2 linked regions of the Bombyx mori genome follow. The protein of the gene in region 1 interacts with the protein of each later gene in a pairwise test. Links are inferred from orthologs where the notes say so. Each region holds a gene or a part of one and is shown in the gene's direction. Other genes may lie near its edges.

Evidence for each region.
Region 2: the proteins of phosphoinositide 3-kinase adapter protein 1 (region 1) and nuclear hormone receptor FTZ-F1 beta interact in a two-hybrid assay, tested with the Drosophila melanogaster proteins (2 studies listed by BioGRID). The link is inferred for Bombyx mori from reciprocal best matches to the Drosophila melanogaster genes stumps and Hr39.

Annotation. Positions count from the first base shown.
Region 1 is NC_085118.1:7,634,323-7,638,154, forward strand, and holds part of phosphoinositide 3-kinase adapter protein 1, read left to right. Parts: intron 1-1,712; coding exon 1,713-1,830; intron 1,831-1,952; coding exon 1,953-2,179; intron 2,180-2,515; coding exon 2,516-2,682; intron 2,683-3,042; coding exon 3,043-3,187; intron 3,188-3,316; coding exon 3,317-3,468; intron 3,469-3,631; coding exon 3,632-3,764; intron 3,765-3,832.
Region 2 is NC_085121.1:3,625,876-3,629,807, reverse strand, and holds the start of nuclear hormone receptor FTZ-F1 beta, read left to right. Parts: upstream 1-1,198; 5' UTR 1,199-1,649; intron 1,650-3,932.

The DNA of each region.
Region 1 (3,832 bases):
ATCATTGGTCAAAGTTAATTGATTTCAAGTACCTACCCATTTAGTTACCACAGCGTAAATAGAACGAGCATGCCGGTACGGTTAACGCTCCGCCGAAATACATATATATTCTTTAATGGTTTTTCTTTTATAAAACACGTGTTAGATTAGATTTTTATCGTTAATATTAACAGCTGTATGCACACGGTGTTTACATAAATAAATCGAGCGGCATGCGTACAAAGCTTTACGACGGGCCTTCGTGAACTTCGATCCAGGCAATGACCCTCGTTCGATATCAAGTGAACGACATCTTTCATGTCTTGATTATCCCTTGACAACACTTCCTCTCAGTCGAAGGTATTAAATTTGATCGCTCTGACCGACCGCCTTTGAGATCGACGATTACAAACAATTTCAGTATTCAAATGTAGAACGATACAATGAACGTAACAGAAGAAATATTGCATACTTTAAGATAAACTTTAAGCAAGAAGCGTAGAAAATTTTAACAAAATAATGTTTTAATGATTTCTATTACTAAATATTCAAACAATCAAACAGTACACGTTAAAGGTATAAATAACTTGCCACGACACCCCCGTTCGAAAGAGTATCAGGTCTGATAAATTCATAGTCTTTAGGAAATATTTTTATAATAATTTTAAAGAATATTAGAAGTATATTTAACGTTTAAATTTGCATAATAATTCAACTGTGTTCTCTTTTCTACTTATTTCGCTAATTGATAACTGGGGTAATGAATAATATTCTACCCAATTTGGTTTCCTTTTTTTCTTATATATATTTTTAACTGAGTTATTCATATGGAAAAATAATCATGACAACGCTTGACAACAATGTTAAAAGCTCACTGAGGCATCAATTAAATTGTTCTCTTGTGTTCGTTAGCAAAATGGGAATTTCCGAAGCGAGCGACGAAGAGTTAATTGAATTTCCTGACTCAATTAACGTGTGTCCACTCGTGGCTTCCGTTTGACATTTAAGAGCACCGTGCACTATGTGATTAAATTGTGGTGGTCGGTGCAAACCAAGCACTTCTTTTAATTAAATAGGAATTCCATTGTTTGTGTGAAAGCTGCTTATATAAGCTAACAGAATTGCTGCTTCCATGGAATTTACCCGATTTACTTAGTGCGAAGACTGTTTCGCTTTAGGATGTTTTTTTTTGGTCAAGAGGAAATCGCCAGACTCCCACCCTCCACTGGGGATGGCGGGCGGGGTATGTCGGAGTCTAACCGACTAAAACCTCCTGTCGCTCAACAACCCACGTCCGAGCCTCGCATGAGACAGAATTAATGAAAAGGCAAAGGGGGGAGAGTGAAGCGTTTAATGCGGAGCACATCTCTCCCATCACCCTCCCCCAACTTTAGAATGTTATATGATATCAGTGTAGTTTATTACAGTTGATATAATCAGTGTAAAAATATTTTTATTTTACTAGAAAATAATTCGTGATTAATTATATGATTTGTAATGTTTTTTGGGTTACGTTCATCGGCACTGATTCACTTCTGAACAATAAGCCGATAAAGTATAAAGGTATAAAGATTATTTGGATATTAGGTATGTACTATAGTACATACTTTATAAAGTAATCCCACTATTGAGGTCCTATATGTATCGGTCTGATACTTGGGGATATTTAGTTTCATACTTACGTTACTTTACACACAAAGCATCACAAGAATATAATTTCGTTGTTGTTACAGAAATGGAAGATATAGCGATACTGTGGAGCTCGGGGTCTCCGGAGAGTGCTCTTTGGTCAGATTACTTGGTTGCCAGCTTCGACAAAATTATGTCACAAAGAGCCAGACACCATTATAGGTGAATAATAATAATAATCTTTAATATGGTCATTTTTAGATTCAAAATCGCAATGCACAATAATTCAAAAACCGGAATTGTATTGTATTAATTGTGTTTTTTATTAATTATTTTTTTAACAGGGTGACACCAGTGACTGCAGAGGAACTGTTGTCTTCCGATTCGCAGGAGAAAGTCGATAAACTGTCAAAAGCGCAACTGCAAATCGTAATCCTGTGTCCGAATTTAGCAACCAAAATGACTGATTTGAAAAAAGATCTCAACGCCGAAAATGTCTTTAAAACTGATAAAATTTTAGTCATGCTCCTCGGAGTTGAAAAAGGTCATATTATAGCTGAAAATTGTGAAGGTGAGAATCGTAAAGTTTTTAATATAGGTACATTAGCCACTACATACGCGTGCCTATTAGGTTCACACAACTGGATTAAATCTGCACACATAAACATTGAACTTATTTACATAAAATAATACATGATAGAATTCACCCTATTGGGTGTGAACACATCTTGCTTAAGAGCGTTTGTGCTTAAAATAGAAATATCGTTAACTAACATTAAAACTAAGACAAAGAAAAAAAGAAAAAGCTGCATATAAAAACTTACAAAAAACAATCAACAATAAAAATAAAAAAGTCATTGAATACATGAATTTAAAACAATATAGTTGAAACAATTTCCTATTTCAGAATATCCAACAATAGACCAATGGCATATGATGTCGGTACGCGAGAAAGACACGTCATTTGTTGACACCTTTCTGACGGCGGCCGTTGGAATTTTACGAACTAAAGACTGCAAAGATACAGCTACAGATAGAACAAGCTTCTCCATTGTACCAAAAAAAGTCAAAATAGTAAGTGACTTGCTAGTGTCTTGCAGAAAGTGAATGTAAATAACTTTCAGAGCAGAAATAGAATATAGTTTTTTTTTTTGTATGGAAGTTTTGCGTTTAGATCGAAGGTCATGTGGCTTGGCAAAATTTGATACCTAAATGATATTAAGAAATGTGTGAAAGTCACAATAAGCTCAAAGAAATATATTATACTTTTCTAATGTTTAAATTAGCATCTTGAATCTTACTTATAATTATATTTCAGTAATCAGTGTCGAACTCGTGAACTTTCAACGTAAATTTAAAAAGTTCCTAAAATGTGTCTTCAAAGTAAAAGGCGTACCGAATCCATCTCGAAAAGTCATTTATCTTCGTTCACAGGGACAGAGTCGCGTGATAGCGCTCCTTAACGATCCTATTCGAGAAGAAGACAGCATCAAGATAATGGTCGATAAGAAAGGAGAGGTCATACAAATACCGACCTTCAAGAAAAGAAACCCGTATACTTTGCAGTTTGATATTCCAGGTAAAAAAATATTGCAAGCAATATGTTGAATTTTTTTCCGTTCGTAATTTAGTATTATAATTCTCATCACTCTTACATATAAAATAATGTTAATAAGTGAATTAATGGAATTTTTGTTTGTTTAATTAGAATCATGTTTGGAAGTCTCCATGTTGGTGTGGGTTCGAGTTAGTAAAAACGGCCAGTCCCTCGGACGACGTCAGATCAAATGCGAGAGTCGTTTGCGGGAGCTAGATCAGCTGCTGCGGGCCTCCGATCATCCCTTAGAATTCATGTGCCAGGTAAAATATTAAAGTAAAATAAAAATGATGATGTTAACAGGTGGTCTTTCAATCAGTAAATCAAAAATCATTTAAAATTTTCCTATCTCTTAAAATTAACGTTAAATTCAATATAACGCTTTTATGTAATCAGAAAATAACATTATTGTTATTTATTTTATAGACGTTAGGATTCAAAACAACGAGCAAGGAACAACTGGATAGCTGGATGCTCAACGCTTTCCAAAAGAATATTCCACCGCATTTCAACCTTCTCTCATCGACGGACCAATTCAATCCAAAAGCAGACGTCTCCAGTGAGTTCAATTTCATTTACTTTGAGCTTAAGCATAGTGTTTTTTTTTAGTTTTTAGTCGTAGACATA
Region 2 (3,932 bases), on another chromosome or scaffold:
AAGTCTTTGTAAAAATTATATTTCCTCTCTGATATTTTATGCTGAAATCCATATTGCATATCATTAGCTATTTCTTAACGTTGAAAAAAATTGTTACCTTTTTTTCAACAGTACAGACATATTGGTTTTTAACGAATTTACTTTCGGATTCATTATTGTATTTACATTAACAAGAAGAAAATCTAATAAAACAACAAACATTAGTTAAGCTTAAGCTCAGCGAAAAGCAAGAAATGAGCGTGGATCGCATTTATCCACTTAAAGTAGCAGTAAAAAAATGAGTAACTACGACAGAGGACGTGAGTTCTCGAGTTCGGAAGTCTCAGGAAATTCGTATCTTTTAGTATTTTATTTTCATCGTATCTAATTTCAATTCATTTTATTCTATTCCATGTTATTCAATCTCCTTTTGTTATTAATATTAAATAAATCTACTTCATTTAAATCTCTTGTTTCCATAGCGTTTTCAGTTTTCCATAGAACAAATATCTGGAACAATTAGTAGCATTAGGCTTAAGGACGCAACATAGGTTACTAGAAAGATTAAAAAAAAAAAAAGCTCAATTTGAAAAGAATACCTCTACCCTCCATAGAAAAGAAGAAAGAAGAAAGTCTAAAGCGGTATGTAGAGAACACGACTTTACCTACGTTGTCGTAAATTAGTGTTGTGTCTATGTCTGTCATATCTGGAGGAGGACTTTTTGGCGGGAACGCGAGGAGTGAAGTTGTGTGATTTGTTTTATTTTGTATATTTAGTGTTTCTTCAGGTTTAAATGTGTAATAACGGTGGTTTATTAACTGTTTAATATCTGTGAAAGTGCACAAATGTGGGAAAATGAAACAAAGCCGCTGGACGCAACTTCTCGGGATCCTCCAAAAAGTCCACTGAAAAATCTTAGTAAATGACCACCATTTTGCTAAGATTATATTTCATCCCATATCATCTCATTTCATTTAATTTCATCCCAGTTGATTAATGTCTCAAATTAATCATTTTCATTTCATTTCACTCCATATTATCATTTTTCGTAAAAATAAGAATATAAATTAAAATAAGACATGACTTAAAAGTCTTAGTTACCAGGTCATAAAATCACCAAAAAAAAAACATCTGGAGGATTATAAACCAATACAGCGCCATCTCTAGTTGATCAGTGGATCGATTTCAATATTTAATGCGAAGCAGTCAGTATGATAGTCACTAGATGTCCTTTGTTTCGAGGTTTTACGACCAGCTAGATGTCATGTTCATTCAATCGCAACGTTCAACAGTTCAACTTTATTCAGCTTATTCCGCTTTGTTTTGCGGAGCTTAGAGGACGTAGTGTCATAGCGCCTGCGTTTGTGTATTGTGTCCAATGTTTTTATGTTAAAAAGTATTTTTTGAGTGAACACACAATTAAAACTTAAACGGACAGTGTTTTTTTAAGCGAACCAAGACAATGCGTGCTTTTTGAACTTTAGAAAGATTGTTACATTCGTACATTTGCGCAATCGTTAGTGAGACTCGATGTCAATAAACTTGTCGGTTGTATTTTATGGGAAAGGTGTGCCGCGTCGTGCTGTTACCTGTTTGCGACGGCCGGGTGTTCGAGTCTGATACAGCAGCGCCAGGAGCGTTCAGGCCATGGTGTCGTAGTCAAGGTGAGGTGCGTCGGTTAGAGTACTTTTCGGGGCCGCGCTATGGTGTGCGGGACTCTGGCGAGCGTGCATTCACCTCTGACCCGCGCGCGGGGCGAGCGACACTCAAGGTCGGTGCGCCGCCTGAAGGTCGTTTGTCACGTGACACGAAGGGTGCACACCCCGACCCTCGCGAGTCGGGACTATCGTTGCCGCCGTCGCGACGCTTGTTTTCATTTAAGACAGTCGTACACAAAAGTTGTCTCTTTAAAATCTTCTTTTATTAGTAATTAATTTTTTGGAAATATGAAAACTTGACACGTTTAGTTCGAGTAGCAGTGAAATATCTTTTGATTCAGTTAAAACCTCGGAATTATGTTTAAAAAAAAATTACATTCACCGGTAAAAGGATTTCGGTTATTGAGAACAAGGTCTGAATTAAAATCAAGGTTCAATGGGATATGACTTATTTACAATCGCTTGTTTATAACGTTCATTTATTTAATATTATTGAATAGTTTATGTTACGTTCAGTCATAAGAGAAATAAAATAGTTCATTATTATAAGAATCTTGCGTGCTTGTATGAGTGGAATTGCCTTGCAGTTGATTTCTGCCACGAAGCAATCATCCGCTCTGGTTTAAAGGTCACAGGTAACAACTGTTGTACCTGTGCGAATGTTATTGAGATTTCAGTCCTAGGTGGCAGGGTGAGAATGGCATTAATGTGGCAAACAATGATTTCCAAATAGACTGTCTAACAAAATATAGTTGAAAAGCTTAAAAAACACACTTTTATAACAAGCCTAATTAAAAATTTAGCGTTATGTGTATAATATCAGACTAATATAATGCATTTATTTTATTTTGACCGGTATGTATTTGATCCGTGTGCAATTTTTCAATGTCACTATCAAATGTCAAGTTGATAAAAACGTGTTAAAAATGCTATAATTTAAATGTTCAAACAATATTTTTCAATAGTTTGGATGATAGATTACGACGTATATTTGCGAGTTGCTCATTAAGTATGCACTTAAGTATCTAGGAAGCTCTTTGTCTTGCACTTGTGTCGCGAAATAACGGACTCTGTGTAAGTTGTCATAAGTATACGTATTATTGTGTTTCTGAGTGCACAAACTCTTATTATTTTTTCTACCTATGCTGATAGTCTTGAGGAGCCTCTCAAGGCTATTTCAGCTTCACCCTGGCTTGTAGGTGAGCTTTCGAGGCTCAAACCAGTAGTGTTGCTAAACCTGGTCCGAGCAAGAGCAGTGCTTCGTAGAATCTACCACCGGACCAAAAACGCGATCCACTGAGAAGATCCGGCGAGAAACTCAATGGGATGTGTTTATGGGCTACAGTCATAATAACAAACAGGTGTGTTCCAATAATTTCAAGATCGTCCAACGGAATCGAATATAAATAACAAAACAATACGACGATATTGTAACAAGTGGGCAGTGTATGAAATTATCCTTTACCTCGAACATTACGTAGTCAAGGACACTACGGAATCATAAAAAGCCCGTGTAGACGAAACAGCGATAAAACGTACGAGCACGCGTAGAAATGCACGCTCGAATCTCACGAAGAATAACGCCTTAAAATAATTCAAACTGCTCCAATAGCGCCAGACAGAGAAAAATGTCACACGAATATTCAGGAAGCGGTTACTCAACGACTTAATCTATTTATGTTTTTATTGCTTTGACGACTGAACGAGCTCACGGCCAACCTGATCTTAAGTGATTAACAGACAACAAAGACATCACAATGTGAATGCCGTCTTGCTTGAGGAATTAGGGCGAAATCTAAATTGCATTTAATAACTATCTTATCCTTGGAAACGGTAGAAACGGCCAGGGTAGTGATACCTACCGGTATGGACTTACTACGCAGCACTAGCAGTAAACAATCACCGTCATGATAATCGCCTTATCGTTACCGCCGCTGACTACACCCCGAATCCTGATCACGGAGGAGCCAGTCACCGTCGACGCCCTAGACACGTCCTTACGGATCCATCAGGTCCATATAACCCTTGCATTAGACGCCTTCAGCTCTAACACTAGGAGCAGGCTTGGGGACCCGGCAACCATACTCGTAGAACTCTACAAAGAGTTCGACGTGCAACCTGACCATGCATCAGCCCGCTGAGGTTCTCGCCATTCCGATCCGGTAGTAGATTCATTCGCGTAGCAGCTGCTCTTGAGTTGTTAGGTCTCCTTCGAAGGCGTTATGGTAGCTGTTAGGAAATCCCACCCCTCCTGGCTGAGCCGTTGCTCGCCCACATGTCCTGGTGAAACTGGA